4 linked regions of the Callithrix jacchus genome follow. The protein of the gene in region 3 interacts with the protein of the main gene of each other region in a pairwise test. Links are inferred from orthologs where the notes say so. Each region holds a gene or a part of one and is shown on either strand. Other genes may lie near its edges.

The links.
Region 1: the proteins of CCDC33 (region 3) and ABCF3 interact in a two-hybrid assay, tested with the Homo sapiens proteins (2 studies listed by BioGRID and IntAct). The two-hybrid records come from large-scale screens. The link is inferred for Callithrix jacchus from reciprocal best matches to the Homo sapiens genes CCDC33 and ABCF3.
Region 2: the proteins of CCDC33 (region 3) and HNRNPF interact in a two-hybrid assay, tested with the Homo sapiens proteins (3 studies listed by BioGRID). The two-hybrid records come from large-scale screens. The link is inferred for Callithrix jacchus from reciprocal best matches to the Homo sapiens genes CCDC33 and HNRNPF.
Region 4: the proteins of CCDC33 (region 3) and TTC19 interact in a two-hybrid assay, tested with the Homo sapiens proteins (2 studies listed by BioGRID and IntAct). The two-hybrid records come from large-scale screens. The link is inferred for Callithrix jacchus from reciprocal best matches to the Homo sapiens genes CCDC33 and TTC19.

The regions. Positions count from the first base shown.
Region 1 is NC_133516.1:13,170,522-13,174,688, forward strand, and holds the start of ABCF3 (ATP-binding cassette sub-family F member 3), read left to right. Parts: upstream 1-1,367; 5' UTR 1,368-1,384; coding exon 1,385-1,457; intron 1,458-1,679; coding exon 1,680-1,827; intron 1,828-1,968; coding exon 1,969-2,048; intron 2,049-2,560; coding exon 2,561-2,607; intron 2,608-2,824; coding exon 2,825-2,922; intron 2,923-3,015; coding exon 3,016-3,138; intron 3,139-3,294; coding exon 3,295-3,561; intron 3,562-3,861; coding exon 3,862-3,942; intron 3,943-4,025; coding exon 4,026-4,085; intron 4,086-4,167.
Region 2 is NC_133513.1:36,094,541-36,098,704, forward strand, and holds the start of HNRNPF (heterogeneous nuclear ribonucleoprotein F), read right to left. Parts: upstream 2,801-4,164; 5' UTR 2,747-2,800; intron 2,407-2,746; 5' UTR 2,343-2,406; intron 1,453-2,342; exon of another isoform or gene 1-1,452.
Region 3 is NC_133509.1:21,056,774-21,060,841, reverse strand, and holds the start of CCDC33 (coiled-coil domain-containing protein 33), read right to left. Parts: upstream 2,801-4,068; 5' UTR 2,757-2,800; coding exon 2,447-2,756; intron 1,492-2,446; coding exon 1,156-1,491; intron 1-1,155.
Region 4 is NC_133506.1:84,645,308-84,649,549, forward strand, and holds the start of TTC19 (tetratricopeptide repeat protein 19, mitochondrial), read right to left. Parts: upstream 2,801-4,242; 5' UTR 2,776-2,800; coding exon 2,592-2,775; intron 2,507-2,591; coding exon 2,397-2,506; intron 758-2,396; coding exon 647-757; intron 1-646. Other genes in the region: ZSWIM7 (zinc finger SWIM domain-containing protein 7), read left to right, coding at 3,303-3,435. UniProt on the Homo sapiens protein: Required for the preservation of the structural and functional integrity of mitochondrial respiratory complex III by allowing the physiological turnover of the Rieske protein UQCRFS1.

The sequences.
Region 1 (4,167 bases), on a different chromosome or scaffold from region 3:
TCCTGTAAAATGGTTAACCATCAGGATTGATTGATTCCTCATGATGGCAGGTGTTTTGTGTTTTTTTTTTTTGACGCGGAGTTAATTGTTGCCCAGGCTGGAGTGCAATGGCGCGGTCTCCGCTCACCCCAACCTCCACCTCCCAGGTTCAAGCGATTCTCCTGCCTTAGCCTTCTGAGTAGCTGGGATTACAAGCATGCTCCACCATGCCCTGCTAATTTTGTATTTTTAGTAGAGACGGTATTTCTCCATGTTGGTAAGGCTGGTCTCAAAACTCCTGACCTCAGGTGATCAGCACTCCTCGGCCTCCCAAAGTGCTGGGATTGCTGGTGTGAGCCACTGGGCCCGGCTGATGGCAATGTTTTTAATCCAAAGGGATGAATGGGTGGTAATGTAATTTTGGGTGCCACTTTTGGGGCCGATTGGAGGAATTTTCACGTTAAATATACAGCAATAACGTCATCTTGGAGGAAATTCCTAGCTTCCTGAGGGAATCGGTGAAAGGAAGTAGCCTTTTACTGGCATTTACTGAGATTCAGGGTGCGAAGAAGTCGGCTTTGGGGGTAGGTAGAGAATAAATACCAGTGAATTTATACAAGCCACGTTGTCCTGGTTTTCTTGCCCTTTGGCGGTGGATTTGGTCGTGCCTTGGGGTGGTGGAAGAACTGAATGGGCTTAATTCGCAAAGGTCAGCTCAATTATGAAGTATGAAGACAGGTCGCGGCGGGCAGGCAGGTGGCGCTGACCACCAGGCTGAGGAGCCCGTAGGATCCGGGGGCCCGCGAAAGCAAAGCACTGAGGTGGCGGGGTTTGCTGGAGAGTGACAATGTGCGGAAGGACCTGTTACTGCGGGAGCGGGAGCGGGAGCTCAGCGCTCAGAGTCAGAGACGAGGGTGAATCAGCAGCTCTGGGAGGGCTCCAAAATGGGCTTGGCTGAGTGCGCAGCCACAGCAGACGCGCCTCGAGAGAGCGCATAAAACCCGGCAAAGCCAAAGTGCGTTATCAGCCGCTGGTCTCTTGGGAGGCTCCCACCTGCCAGACCACCAGTGCCTCGCGCCCAGATAAATCTTGAGCACTCAGCCCCCGCCCCACCCGCCGCTCCTGGAACTCCACCTTCCAGAAGGCAGCGAGAACCGCATGTGTGGCTAATCTGTAAGCCGGAAAAGAGTTGCGCACGCGCAGAGAGGGCGGCCCAGCGCAGACTCAGCGCCTCTCCTCTGGGCCCCGCTCGCCCCGCCCACCGGGCTCCTTGCACTCCGCTCCTTTCTTGTATCACCGCTACGCATGCGCCTTGCAAGGAGGGGCGAGATTTCGGGGACAGGGCCGGGGGCGGGCCTAGGCCAGGGGCTCACAGCGACTGCGCGGACGGGTTCTCAACTGGAACATGGCGACTTGCGCCGAAATCCTGCGGAGCGAGTTCCCCGAAATTGACGGACAGGTCTTCGACTACGTGACGGGTAAGCAGAACTGAATCAGCTGGCTGAGGACACCAAAGTGGAGGCCGGGGGAAAGCCTAAGCGAGCGTCGTGCCGGGGACTGTTGCCAGGCCTCTCCTCGGCGTGACCTCTTGTCCCGGGGGCCGGTTGGGTCTGGAACCTGGACTGGGGCCGCTGTTTGGGGAAACTGCTTGTGTGTCCTCCCTACCTGATACCTTCCTCGTTCTGCCACGCCCTGCGCAGGCGTCTTGCACAGCGGCAGCTCGGACTTTGAGTCTGTGGATGACCTGGTGGAAGCTGTGGGGGAACTATTGCAAGAGGTGTCCGGGGACAGCAAGGATGACGCGGGCATCAGGGCCGTGTGCCAGCGCATGTACAACACTCTGCGCCTGTATGTGCCGGGCAGTAGGGGTTGATGGGGGCGAAGGGAGGGCGAACGGTCCGGAGACAAGAGGTGGGGGAAGAAGGTCTGACGGCCGTAGAGCTTTTCCCTCAACTGCTAACTTTGCGCTTTCTCTCCCTACCTACATAGGGCTGAACCACAGAGCCAGGGAAATAGCCAGGTGCTACTGGACGCCCCCATCCAGTTGTCAAAGATAACGGAGAACTACGGTGAGAGTGAGGGGAGATTCAACTAACTGCCCTCTGTCCTTTTCTCTGCCCCTACCCATCTGCCCCCTGCAGCTTAGAGCTCCTACTGCGTCTTTTCCACAGGACAGGGTTGTAGGAGCTAGTTGATGTCCTTACCGAGGGCAGAAGAGTCCATGGTCGGGGGGAGGCTGTTGTTGGAGGGTTCTCCTAGCCCTTGGGTATGGTAGGAAGCATAGGAGCCTGGAACTGGACAGACTTGGTTTCACTCGCCCATTTTCCAGCTTACTAACCAGCTGCATGATCTTTTTAGAGTTGGTTATCTGTCCCCACCCCCTCCTATGCTTCTGTATTCTTTTACGTGAGGTTTGTTTGTTTATGTTTTTTAAGTGCAGGGAAGATAATAGCCGTCTATCTCCAGGATTATAAAGCTTTGTAGAAAACGTCTGTGTCTGTGCCTGGTTCATATTAGTCACTCAAAGTGTTAGTTTCCCTTCCCTCAGGGAGAAGGTGACTGCTTTTCTTATCGCTTACAGACTGTGGAACCAAACTTCCAGGACTGCTAAAGAGGGAACAGTCCTCGGTGAGGAGGAGGAAGCAAGGGAGGGAGTGTGTGATGGGGTTGGGAATGGACTGTCTAATTGGAGGATCTTTTGGGGGGATTTCTGACTGTGTCTTTCCCTGAGCCTTTGAGTCCGTTCATCTTGGGTAAGTTAAGAGGGTTTACTTGAGGTGTTCTCTCTTCGGGTTCCTTACTGAGCCTACACCCTAGAGTGAAGTCAATGTGTTTGGATCCTTAGACAGTGAATGCAAAGAAGCTTGAGAAGGCTGAGGCTCGACTTAAGGCAAAGCAGGAGAAGCGGTCAGAGAAGGACATGCTCAAGACCAGCAACCCTCTGTGAGTGGAGAAAGCATGGCTCAGAAGAGAGCAGAGTAGTGTCTGCCTGGACTGGTGGGGAGCACTAAGAGCTGTCCATTTCTCCCTTTAAAGAGTCTTAGAAGAGGCATCAGCTAGCCAGGCAGGCAGCAGAAAGGAGAGTCGATTGGAATCATCTGGCAAGAACAAATCCTATGATGTGCGAATTGAGAACTTCGATGTGTCCTTCGGGGACAGGTGAGGGAATCGTGGGGGCGGGACTTGGCTTTCTTTTTCTAATTAGGGGAAAATTTAGAGAGATGAAATGGGGCTACAAACAATGTTAGGTTTATCGTTAACTTTCTGTGCACCTGTTTTTAGAGCATCTTTGGTCTCCTTTCTCCACCCCTGCAGAGTACTGCTGGCTGGAGCTGATGTGAACCTGGCATGGGGCCGCCGTTATGGGCTGGTGGGGCGGAATGGGCTGGGGAAGACCACGTTACTGAAGATGCTGGCCACCCGGAGTCTCCGGGTTCCAGCCCACATTTCCCTGCTGCACGTTGAGCAAGAGGTTGCTGGAGATGACACCCCTGCCCTACAGAGTGTGCTGGAGAGTGACAGTGTGCGGGAGAGCCTGTTACGGCGGGAGCAGGAACTCAGCACCCAGATTGCTGCTGGCAGGTGAGGGCTTCAGGCTAGAGAGTAACTAGCAGCTGCTGGCCCTCACAGAGTGCCTGCCCTGCTGGAATAATCCACCATTTGCATGTGCATACTAGTAATCAACAGAGCTTAGAACTTGGCACTCTGGCACTCAGCAGCCCTTGTTCTTTCCACAGTGCCCATTGCCCTCATTCCCTTGAGCAGATCCTTCCTCTATTCTCTTCCTCTTGTAGCCAGTGGCCTCTTTCCAGCTGTATAGGGCACAGGACATCCTCCTAGACTGCCCCCACTTAGGCCATTTGCTGTTTCTCCTCCCTCCAGGGTGGAGGGCTCTGAAGCTGCAGAACTGGCAGAAATCTATGCCAAACTGGAGGAGATTGAGGCTGACAAGGCACCTGCCAGGTATATCAAACTCCCCTCCCTCCAGATTTCCTTTCCCTTCTGTGGACTGTTCCACTTGACTTCTTCAGTTTCTTCCCTCCTAGGGCATCAGTCATTCTCGCTGGGCTTGGCTTTACCCCTAAAATGCAGCAGCAGCCTACCCGGTGAGTGACCCTTGCCATTCTTGGCTTTGAACCCTGTTGACTCAGCCCCTTTCTGACCTGATGAACACCCACCCCTAATGTG
Region 2 (4,164 bases), on a different chromosome or scaffold from region 3:
AAAAGATGTTAAATTAGAGAAATAAACCGTAACATGTAAATACAATTTTTTTCACATGCCTATAATCCCAACACTTTGGTAGCGAAGAAGAATCCCTTGAACACAAAAGTTTTAAAATCAACATAAGACACCACCTCTACCAAAAATACAAAAATTAGCAGGGTGTGCTGGCGACTGCCTGTGGTCCCAGATACTCTGGCAGCTCAGGTGGGAGGATCACTTGAGCACAGGAGGATCTCGGCAGCGAGCTGAGAGCACACCACTGCACTCCAGTCTGGGCAAAAAAGCGAGACCTGTCTCAAAATGTAACTAAAAAAAAAATTTTTTTTTTATAGAGACAGGGTCAGTGTCTGCGGCCCAGGCTGGTCTCCAACTCGTGGGCCCAAGCGATCCTACTCGGCCTCCTTAACTGCTGGGACTACAAGCGGGAGCCACAGCGCCCGGCCTATAATGACGCTAATGATCTAAAGGATGCATGAGGAACGTAATATCTACAAGGCAAAAAATCTTCTTGCTTAGGAATAAAGCACTCTCTTAATGTTCATCAAAAGTAACAATGTCTTATTTTATGATTTAGAAATTCTGTCTAGAAGAGCAAGCAGAGGTCACTTTTCAGGGCTCGCACTTATGGCATCTTTCGCCTACCTGGAAAACCCAAGAAATTTTCATCTTACTAGGAATTAAGAGACAAATACACACTCAACTTTTTAAAATGTAAGTAGAATTATACATGCATATTTTTGGAAGAATTAAGATGACTTGTGGAACAGAACGACTACAAAGACTACGCTTTCAGAACTCCCTGCTGCCTGAGGCTGCGGCCCTGACCCCGGCACAGAGCCCGCCCCGCGCGGTTCCGGGAAGCCGCCGCCGCCCGTTGCCCTTCGCGCGCAGCCGCCAGCGCGCGCCTCCTGTCCCGCCACGCAGCTGGCCGGTCCGAGCCCCCGGTGCCCAAGAGCAGTTTCAAGAACTTAACAGCCATTTTAGTTCGTCCCCGGGTCGCTAGGAGACCGAAAAGCCGCAGCGAAGGGCGCCCCGCGGGCGACGGCCGAGTCCGGCTCTCCTTCCGCCCTCCCGCTGGGACCCACGCGGCGCCGAGCGGAGGTCCCTGGCGCCTGGGGGGAGGGGTTCCCGCGACCAGGGCGGTCTGGCTGGTAGGGCGAGTCTGGCGCCCCGCTCCTCAGAACTCTAGTCCACGACTCCGAGGTCGGGAGAGCGGGGCGCCAGCGCAGCGCGACCTAGGCCCGGTCCACAAGTTTTCTAGAAGCAGGGCGGAATCGACGAAAATACTTCAAACTAGCAAAAAAAAAAAAAAGGACAACTAAGCCGAAGAGCAGGTATGAGTCGAAGATTTCCACCCCAAATACAAACACCATACCTCTAGGAACTGGAGACTAACCCAGAGACTGCGCTCCGAGAACACGCGGCGCTGCCGAGGAGGAAAAAGAGCCCAGGGCGGAGAGTGAGGGCTGAGGGAACCGGGCGTGGGAGGAGGGCGGAGCCAGCTTCCTGCCAGAGTCTATTGCAACTCCGGCGCCTGCGGCCACGTGAGCGCACGGCTTTCATTTTACTCAGGTATTACTACTCTTGAGACTAGGTCTCACTCCCGTCAGCCAGGCTGGAATGCCGCGGCACTATCACTGGTCACTGCAGTCTCGACCTCTCCGGCGCAAGCGACCCTCCCGCCTTAGCCTCCCGAGTAGCTGGGACAACAGGCGCGCGCCACCACGCGTAAATTTTTCTTTTAATTTTTAGCAGAGACGGAGTTTAACTATCTTGACCAGGTTGGTCGGGAACTCCTGGGCTCAAGACATCTTCCCGCCTGGGCCTCCCGCCGCGCCAAGCCTGTTCTCACTTTCAGAGCCCTCCGACGGTCGCCAGCGCTCCACCAGGAGGCCCGGCTATAACGCACCCGGCCGGCCATGTCTTCCCAGCCACCCGACTCCAAAATCTCAGGCCGCGGTGCTCACCCCGTGGGACCAGTGTCTGGGCGTACGGCTCTCTACCTACGACGCTGCGCCTCCCGACCCCAGTGGAGCCAGTCCTCGCCGGTCCCATGTACCGGCGCCTCGACCTCGAATCCCGTCAACCCAAATCTCAGCCCCTCAGTATGTGCAATCCTCCCTCGGCCCCAGATGTGCGGCGCTTGAACTCGGATCTCGCTTCCCTAATCCCAAATCTCAGGCCCAGCCCCACAATCCCCACCCCACTAGGCCCAATCGCCAGGGTGCGGGTACGCGGCCCCGGACCTCGAGTGATCTCCCGAATCTCAAATCCCAGCCCCACGGTCTCCACCCCCAGAGTACTCGGTCCCCGCTCGGTCCCGGGTGGCCGCCCCTCACCTCGGCCTCCGAGTCTCTACGTTCCCGCTCTCACATCAGGAACCCTGGTCGTCCCTCGGAGCACCTAGCGGAGGGTGAAAAGCGGGGAACTTGGCAGTTGTAGCTGTGGCAGTTGAGGCTTGTTGACCATCACCATGGAAACCCCCGGCTGCGAGCACGGGGCGGGGCCTAACAGAGGCGGGGGCAGGAACGCGACCGGTCCCAGTCCTCAGGGCCTGCCTGTCGAGTGCACGCGGCTTTGCCGGAAGCCCTCCTGCTCCCGGCGTGCCAGGCGCCGGCTAGGCCCTACTCCCCGGCTCGGCCCTTCGCCCTGGACACCTGGAAACAGAAACCCAAAGAGCCCGCGTCCCCACCCCGCTGCTACCTGCCGGCGTGACCGCAATTCGGTGCCCCAAGAACCTCACCTTAAGGAAGACGCGGCGCAGGCCTCCTTCCACGACGGACCGGAAAGACGCAAGGACCGCGGCAGGGTGGAGCCTTTGCGTATGGCTTCCGGGGGCGGGGCCGCGACGACGCTATTGTGACGCGCCCAGCGGGGAGCCGTCGATTGGGCGGCAGGCCGCAGGGCGGAGCCGACACTGGGGTGGGGGCAGGGGAGGCCGCGGAGACTCTTGAGCCCGGACGTTTCTGGAGAAGACAGGGGAGGGGAGGGGACGGGAGGAGGAAGAGGGAGTGGAGCGGCGGGAAAGATCCCTCTTACTTCCGCTGACTCCCTGGAGGAACGACAGTGGTGAGACTCGCAGGACTCTGAAATGTGCGCCGAAAGGACGCCTGATTTGAAGACTGGGCTGAAAGAAGGAAATGAGAGCCGATTCCCGGGCGTGGTGGTGCATGCCTGTGGTCCCAGTAATTTGGGAGGCTGAGGCGGGAGAATCACTTGAGCCCGGGAAGTCAAGGATGCAGTTTAGCCCTGAGTGCTCCACTGCCTCCAGCCTGGGCGTCAGAGCGAGACGCTGTCTCAAAAAAAATTTTTTAAGGAAAAAAATACACTGAGGGCAGGGCGCAGTGCCTCACTCCTGTAATCCCAGCACTTTGGGAGGCGGAGGGGGGCGGATCACGAGGTCAGGAGATCCAGGCCAGCCTGGCCAACATGGTGAAACCCCGTCTCTACTAAAATACAAAAAAAAAGGACGGCGTAATGGCGCGCGCCTGTAGTCCCAGCTACTCGGGAGTCTGAGGCAGGTGAATCGCTTGAACCCAAAAGGTGGAGGTTGCAGTGAGGCGAGATTGCGCTACTGCACTCCAACCTGGCAACCGAGTGAGACTCCGTCTCAAAAAAAAAAAAAAGCCGGGTGCGGTGGCTCAAGCCTGTAATCCCAGCACTTTGGGAGGCCGAGGCGGGTGGATCACGAGGGCAAGAGATCGAGACCATCCTGGTCAACATGGTGAAACCCCGTCTCTACTAAAAATACAAAAAATTAGCTGGGCATGGTGGCGCATACCTGTAATCCCAGCTACTCAGGAGGCTGAGGCAGGAGAATTGCCTGAACCGAGGAGGCCGAGGTTGTGGTGAGCCGAGATGGCGCCATTGCACTCCAGCCTGGGTAACAAGAGCGAAACTCTGTCTCAAAAATAAAAATAAATAAATAATAAAAATAAAACAGGCCGGGCGCGGTGGCTCACGCCTGTAATCCCAGCACTTTGGGAGACTGAAGCAGGCAGATCACGAGATTGAGACCATCCTGGCCAACATGGTAAAACCCTGTCTCTACTAAAAAATACAAAAATTAGCTGGGCATGGTGGCTGTCCACCTGTAGTCCCAGCTACTAGGGAGGCTGCTGCAGGAGAATTGCTTGAAACAGGAGGCGGAGACCAGTGAGC
Region 3 (4,068 bases):
CTCGACCCCCTCCACTTTCTCCCATCTCCAGGGAGAGAGACTCCACAGGTGGGCCAGGCGTCTCTGCTTGTCAGCTGCAGGCTCCAACCTCAGCTTATCCTCTGCTGCCAGCCGAACCTCCCCCTTTTCCTTACCTAGTGCATTGTGGTCCCTCCTCCTGGAACACCCTCCCCAGAGCCCAGGATTGCTGTCCCTAAATCTCACCCTCGTAGCATGCAGTCGGCAAAGTTGGCATTTAACAAATGTTTGATGGATGAATTAATGGATTAAAGAGTAAATGAATGAATAAATGGGAAGATTCATCTCAAACGACCCCTCTTCCAAGAAGCCATTCCCAGGCACCAAAATCCGACATGCACACTCCCTCACCAGAACTCTCCTGCCAGCCAGCCATGCCCTACAGGACCATGGATGATGCCCTCACTATACCCAACTGTCTTCAAGCCAGGCGACCCCCTGAGCTTAGGGGCTGATCAGTTTTGGATCCTGTGCACTATTATGCACTGAAGTCTCCAGGAAATGCTGTTGACATTAAGTGGAGTCAAGCGTACCTTGGGCCTGTTTCTCCACCTGTCAAATGGGTGACTACTCGCTCTACCAGCTGCTATCTGCGCTGGCCGTGAAGCCTACCAGACACACTCTCTCGTCACAGAGCATGGCCATAGGGGAGAAGCCTCCTATATTTTGGATAAGGACTAGACCCTCTCACCTGGGTCCTGGGTTGGAGCCAAGCCCCTCCTGGGCAGGGTGGATGCTGGATGGGCTTGAGGATGGGCACACAGAAGACATTTGTGTTCCCTGGTTACCTGGGGCCTTCCGCAAAATCTGGTGAGAACAAGGTTGGGAACTGAAGGGGCTCAGGGGTCACTAACCCACAGGGCAAAAGAAACCCCACTTAGTTGGCTACCTGATTTGTGTGGCCTTTGCCCATTTTCTGTCTGTCCCTTCAAACTGGGACTCCTGTGTCCATTCTCAGACTGCATGTTCCCCAGACTGAAGGTGGCAGCCTTGGGAGCTCCTCTGCTGCTCTGCTCAGCTCAGGAGAGGCGCTAGCCTGGCTTATCAGGGAGGTTGGGTCTTGTGCCCAGTGAGCCCAAATCTGAACGAGGACATGGGAAGCACCCACCTGCAGCTTGGGGAGCTGGGGCTCTGGGCATGGTGACATCCGTTCTGGCTGGCCAGCCCCCAGAGTGCTGTCTGAGATTGGGGGCTGAAGGTCCCGGTGCACGTGGAAGGCCACACTGTAGGCCAGGCCCCCACAGTGGCGGGCTGTGGGGTCCGTGCTGGCCCGGAGCAGCGCCAGGTTGCCACAGTAGCGGTACAGGTCCTCATGGTCCCGAGCCTCCGGGTTCATGCGGGGTTGGTCCGGCCTCGGGTAGATGGGGAAGATGGCCTCACCCACCCGCTGGGTCGTCCATCCTGAGGGTTCGTCCAGCCTCAGCGCCTCCACGCGCAGCTGAGCGTCATGCTGCCCATCATTCTTGCAGAAACCTGGATGAGGGAACACGGGGCTCAGAGATGGTCTCAGGTTTCTCTGCATCTGCTGGGGGACTAGGAGGACAGGCAGGGCCCTGGGGAAACCTGGGCTGCCCAGCCTTCGAGTGGAAGCCAAGCAGTCTTGGCTAAGATTTCCCTGGTGGGCGACTCCCTCCTAGGCCCCCAGCATTTGCAGAGAAACCCTCCCTGGACTCCCTCCCTTTGCTGATACCCAATCCAAGCCCACCCAGCAGAGGTGAGGAAGGGAGGGCTTAGCCTGTGGGATGATCCCAGGTCCTGCTACCAACCTCGACTCTTAGACTTGGGAAGAGTTCAGCCTGCCCCTGATTTATGGCCACTTAAAGTCTGTGACCTGGTTTCCCCATTCCCCCACATCCCTCCTCCTCCAGGCAGCCTGCTGGGGTGACCTCACAGTCTAGGTATAGATCTCCTTCTCATTCCAGCTCACGTTACTTCTCTCTGCTTGAAGTTCCTGTCCCTTCACCTGCTTTGGAAGTTCCAGAAGGCAGGGCCCAGGTGTCCTGGGCCCTGGGTCCCCTCATTTCTGTCCACACCCCCATGCCCACAATCAAGTGGGGATCAGGGCCAGGCACTCAAGGGGCTGAGTCTAACGTTACTCAGTGTGATGTCCACTGCCGAGGACTGGCCCCCAAACCCACCGTATGATCAGAGCTCTTATATTTACAAAGCCATCTCTCATCTGCGCTTCTATTTCCTTCTCACCTGACCTTGCGTGATGGACATCAGCGTCCAGTTCCCAGGCCACACTGAAGGAGGCAGGGGTCACAGAGGCCCAGAATTTGCCCAAGGTCACACCAGCAGAGCTTTGGCATGCAGTCTGGAGCCCCACCCCTCCCAGTTCTCCTCAGGCTCTCTGGGGTCCCAGAGTGGGGCTGAGGCAGGGGTTCCAGGGTCTTTCTCTCCCCCAAGCCCCACCCCCACTTCATACCTTTGGGCAAAGTAAAGATAAACTTGTTCCTGGTGAGGGTGAGACTGTGGCCAGGTTCCTGCTGCTCAATGACATCAGTGACAACAGAGCAGGCATGGAGGGGATCCCCATCATTCACTTGCAACTGCACCCCAGCCCCAGAGCCCGCCTGCAAGGGGTTCTCAGCTGACAGTCTCAGGGCATATCTACCCCCCTCATTAAACCCCACGCTCAAAACTTCGAACTCTAGATCCAGGGTCTTCTCCTCTGCCTTCAGTCTCCGGCTCAGCAGGGATGTAGAGACCCAGGGTTCAGGCCCTCTGAATGCCATGGCCACGGGGGGATCGACTGCCAGGCTGAGCACTGCGCCCTCTCACCCACGGCCCAGCCTGAACCCAATCTGAAAGCCTGCAGGCTGCGTGCTCAGGGCCACTCCCCACCCACCTCTGTTTGTTTGAGGAGAAACCAGGTAACAAGGCAGGAACCTGGGCCTGACCCAGGAAACTTTTGTTCCATCAATCCCTTCCCTTTAGCATTTGTTCCTTCAACAAATATTTCTTGAGCACCTACTGCGTGCCAGACACTATTTTAGGCGTTTGGAATCCAGCAGTGAACCAAACAGTAACTCCAGCCCTCTGAAGTTTATCTTCTAGTGGGAGAGGTGTGTAGAGACAGACAAAAATAAACACTAAACATAGAACATAAGTAAATTATAATGTATGCTAGAAGATGCTAATTTTTTTTTTTTTTTTTTTTTTGAGATGGAGTGTTGCTTTCATCTCTCAGGCAGGCTGGAGTGCAATGGCGGTGATCTCGCCTCACTGCAACCTCCACCTCCTGGTTCAAGCGATTCTCCTGCCTCAGCCTCCTGAGTAGCTGGGATTACAGGCGTTTACCACCATACCCAGTTAATTTTTTTTTGTATTTTTAGTAGAAACAGCGTTTTGCCATGTTGGCCAGGCTAGTCTCGAATGCCTGACCTCAGGTGAGCTGCCCACCTCAGCCTTGCAAAGTGCTGGGATTATAGGCATTGGCTACTATACCTGGCACAAAGATGCTAAATTCTATGGAAAAATTGAAAGCAGGTCGAGGATGAAGATTCTGGTATGGGGAGCATGTGGATATGTGATATCCAGAACTTCCCATTCGGGGAGAGCCTATCTCTATGTGCCTATTCATTCCCATTGACTTGAGGTGCAGGGAGTCTCAAGGGAAGGGAGACCGTGTCTATTTTCAGGGAACAAGCCCTTAGTTTACTTTCCTCTTCTTTTCTTTTTTTTTTTTTCGAGGCAGAGTCTCGCTCTGTCGCCCAGGCTGGAGTGCAATGGCAGGATCTCAGTTACTGCAACCTCACCTCCTAGGTTCAAGCCATTCTGCGTCAGCCTCCCAAGTAGCTAAGACTACAGGCATGTGCCACCACACCCAGCTAATTTTTGTATTTTTAGTAGAGACAGGATTTCACCATGTTGGCCAGGATGGTCTCAAACTCCTGACTTCAAGTGATCTACCCACCTTGGTCTCCCAAAGTGCTAGGATTACAGGCATGAACCACCACACCTGGCCTTGTTTACCTTCTTAATTAAGACTTACAATGGGAGGCACAGCTTCACTTTACAGACAGCCCAGACCCTCTTATAGCAAAG
Region 4 (4,242 bases), on a different chromosome or scaffold from region 3:
AATATGATGAAACCTTGTCTCTACTACAATACAAAAATTAGCCAGGCATAGTGGTGCACATCTGTAATCCCAGCTACTCATGAGGCTGAGGCACATGAATTGTTTGAGCTCACAAGGCGGAGTTTGCTGTGAGTCAAGATCGTGCCACTGAAATGCAGCCTGGGTAACAGAGTAAGACTCCATCTCAAAAACAAAAACAAAAGAAAATTCAGTAAAAAAGTAAAAGAGCTTCGGCTGGGTGCAATGGCTCAAGCCTGTAATCCCAGCACTTTGGGAGGCCGAGGTGGGCAGATCACGAGGTCAAGAGATCGAGACCATCTGGCCAACATGGTGAAACCCCATCTCTACTAAAAATACAAAAAAATTTAGCTGGGTGTGGTGGCATGGGCCTGTAGTCCCAGCTACCCAGGAGGCTGAGGCAGGAGAATTGCTTGGAAGTGGGAGGCGGAGGTTGCAGTGAGCCGAGATCGCGCCATTGCACTCCAGCCTGGTGCCTGGCGACAGAGCAAGACTGTCTCGGGTGGGTGGGGGGGGGAACGTGCCTTAGAACATCATGAAAGTCAGGAATATAAATCAGGAGAACTAACAACCCTCCTCTTCCATCCAACTTTTCTCCTCAGTGGTTCAGACTGGTGATAAGAGTTACCAGATCATAAGTGTAAGTGATAGCCTTCTTGTTATCAGTCTGATAGGCGAGACGAAGAGCGTCATGCAAAATTAACTCAGCCTCTTCTGGCTCATCTTTCATGATGCTCAACTGAAAAGAGAAGACAAACAAAATAACAGAAAATGAAACATAAAGTAGATGCATATGCTACCAGACAAAAGTGTATGTAACTATGCATTCCAACTGATAGAAGGAAGCTACTCATTCATCAGACATTTACTGCATTCCTACTATGTACAAGGCATTGTCTACAGAGGTGACAGGGAGGTAAGCCTCCCTTGCAGCTAGGTGTGGCCATCTGATGAAGTTTTGGCCAAGAGACTCGGGCAGAAGAAATGTGATCTTACAACAAATTTTATAAGGAAGTTGCTTGTCCTTCATCCTCTAATTTCCTACAGGCTGGAGGTGACCACATAGAGCAAGTAAGGTTAATTAAAACTAATAAGAGCTATAAAGATGACAGAAAGAAATGATAGGGGCCTCCTCTAAATGGGAATTAGATTAGCCTTCCAAGAACATGACAGCTAAACTGAGGTAGGAAAGATGAGAATGAGTCAACCAAATAAGGAACTGGGGAGAATAACTCAAACAGAGAGGGTAGAGAATGAATGAAGTCCCTATAAGCTGAAGAGAATGGTTTTAGGGGAGAAATGGAAAGAACCAAATGCGAAGGGAGGATGGTGAGCCAGAGGATTATTGCCAAACTGGTGGGCAAGGTATGTGGTTTAGATAATGTGGGGTGTTGCAAGCCATGGCAAGGAGTTTGTATTTTATCATATATGCAGTGAGTAGCCATTTAGAGCTCTCAGGCAAGGAGATGATATGATACAATTTACTTTTTTTTTTTTTTTGGTCACTCTGGTTTCTGCAAGAATACAATGCAGGGAGACAAGAGGGCAGGGAAGACTACTGGAGCATAGGTGGTGGCAGTGATGGTTTGCACTGGGGAGATAGAGAAATAGGGAGATTTGAGAAATATTTAGAAATATTTTGCGTTTGTTGGAAACAGGACCTGTTGCTGGTCTGTAAGAGTACTGGAAGGCAATGGTAAGATAACATACGTTTTAAGAATGACTATGAGGTTTCTAGGCTGAAAAATTGATGGTAGTAAAGAGATGGTGAAAGCATATGTTGAGGAGGCATTAAAGATGGAGTTTAGTTTGGGACATTGTTAAATCTGAGGTAGGTAAGGTCCCAAAATGCAGATGACATGTCAGTAACACACTACTGGGAATACAAATTTGGACGTGGTTGGCATCGAGTAGATATTTAGCTCAATGAAAGAGATGAGATAACTTGGAGAAAATAAAATAGAAAAGCATGTGGAGAAAAGGAAAAATTCAAAAGAGAACTGAATCGCATAACCAACACTAAGCTGCCATTTTCAGGCCGCTATATGCGTGCGAAATTATGTCATTTCAGCTAGGCTGGTTAATCGATAAAAACATTTACAAAACGTTCCCGATATTTCGTTTGCATAAAAAGATGACGCCTGGGGCGCCATCTCCATTTGCACTTGACACTGCAGAGGTATTACTGCAGGCCTTAGAGTCGGAAAAGCCTGGAAGAATTCCAGTCCTCTCTCGGATGACCCAACTGATTCTCAGCAATTCTACCCGTGGAGCCTCCATCCACTCTTCGGCGAGGCGGAGAGAGTAATGCGCAGCGACAAGGCCGCCGGACCCCGCTCACAAAGGCTACCGCGCTCAGCCGGGCCAAGCCGCCTCACCTTGGCTCGCTTCAGCAGCTGAATGATCTCGGCCTCAGCCTCGTCCGCCCCGTCGGTTCCCTGCTGCTCCTCCTCTTCTGTCGCAGCGGGGCTCGAAAACCCGGTGAGCGCTGCGGGAAGGGGCTCTGAGGTCATCGGGCCCGGCCCGCGCCCCTGTCCCCGCCCGGCAGGCCCCGCCCGGCCCGCGCCCCTCACCTGCCAGCAGCGGCAGCAGGCCCGAGCCCCGGCCGTGCGGCGCAACTCGGGATAGCGGCACCTGGACCTCGAGTCCCGGGCCTCCTGCCAGACCCGGGAGTAGGCGCGCGGAGCAGCCCCGGCACCGCAGCGCCGCGGCCCGCAGGAGGCCTCGGCCCAAGCTCCGGCTCAGGAGCCGGTACATACTCCAGCCGCTTCCTCTGCGCACTGCAGGCCGAGCGTGATCCTAGCCCCCGCCCCCGCGCCGAGCGCCCTCCGGATTGGCCGAACCATAACGACTGAGCAAGACATCGTTGCGTCCGCACGCGCGATGACGCACGCCGACGTCACTCGGTCTCGCCGGGCCCCGGTGGGCGAGCGGCCGGGATACTCCGCATGTCGGCGCTGTCCGCTGGCGCTTTGTTGCGGTCTGCCTGTTGAGGACGGTGTGTCCTGCGGAGCGATGGCCGTTGTGTTGCCGGCGGTCGTGGAGGAGCTCTTGAGCGAAATGGCCGCGGCGGTGCAGGAGAGTGCGCGAAGTACGGGACGGAGGTTGTATGTGGCTGCGCCGTGGGCTCAGGCCGGGCATCCGGGCACCGCCGGGCCGGGAGGCAGAAGGCGGGGCGTCCGGGCCTGACCCTGCCTTTTCTGCGTGTGGTTCTGTAAACCTTATGTTCTTGAAAAAAAAAAAAAGCGAAATTGGAACAAGTAAAGGACAAATCGATTCAGCAAATGTTTAGGGTACAGCGCAGTTACAGGAGCCCCTCCGTCGGAGCGAGCAGGCCAGTGGGGACTGAAGTATCAAAACCTGGCTGGGTCCTTGAGACGGGTCCCTGCCCTGGGGTGGAAGGGACAGGAGCCTACCGTGAGTGATAGAAACGTGGAGTTCTGTATTATTTTACTCGAAATTTTGAGTTACTAAATTTTCTTTTTTTTTGAGGCGGAGTTTCGCTCTTGTTACCCAGGCTGGAGTGCAATGGCGCGATCTCGGCCTCTGGGTTCAAGCAATTCTCCTGTCTCAGCCACCCGAGTAGTTGGGACTACAGGGACGCACCACCATGCCCAGCTAATTTTTGTATTTTTAGTAGAGACGGGGGTTTCACCATGTTGACCAAGATGGTCTCGAGCTCTTGACCTCGTGATCCACCCGCCTCGGCCTCCCAAAGTGCTGGGATTATAGGCCTGAGCCACTGCGCCCAGCCTAAACTTTTTCTCAAATTCTGATGTTAACATTAAAGTTAATGCTTTCATACACTTTGTTTAGAAAGTAGGCCCGGTGCGGTGGCTCACGCCTGTAATCCCAACAATTTGGGAGGCCGAGGCAGGTGGGTCACCTGAGGTCAGGAGTTCAACACCAGCCTGGCCAACATGGTGAAACCTCATCTGTACTAAAAATACAAAAAATTAGCTCGGCGTGGCGGCGGGCGCTTGTAATCTCAGCTACTCAAGAAACTGAGATCGAGACCATCCTGGCTAACACGGTGAAACCCCATGTCTACTAAACATACGATAAAATTAGCCCGGCATGGTGGTGCGCGCCTGTAATCCCAGCTTCTTGGGAGGCTGAGGCAAGAGAATCATTTGAACCCAGGAGGCAGAGGTTGCAGGGAGCTGAGATCACACCACTGCACTCCAACCTGGCGACAGAGTGAGATTCTGCCTTGCGGGGGGG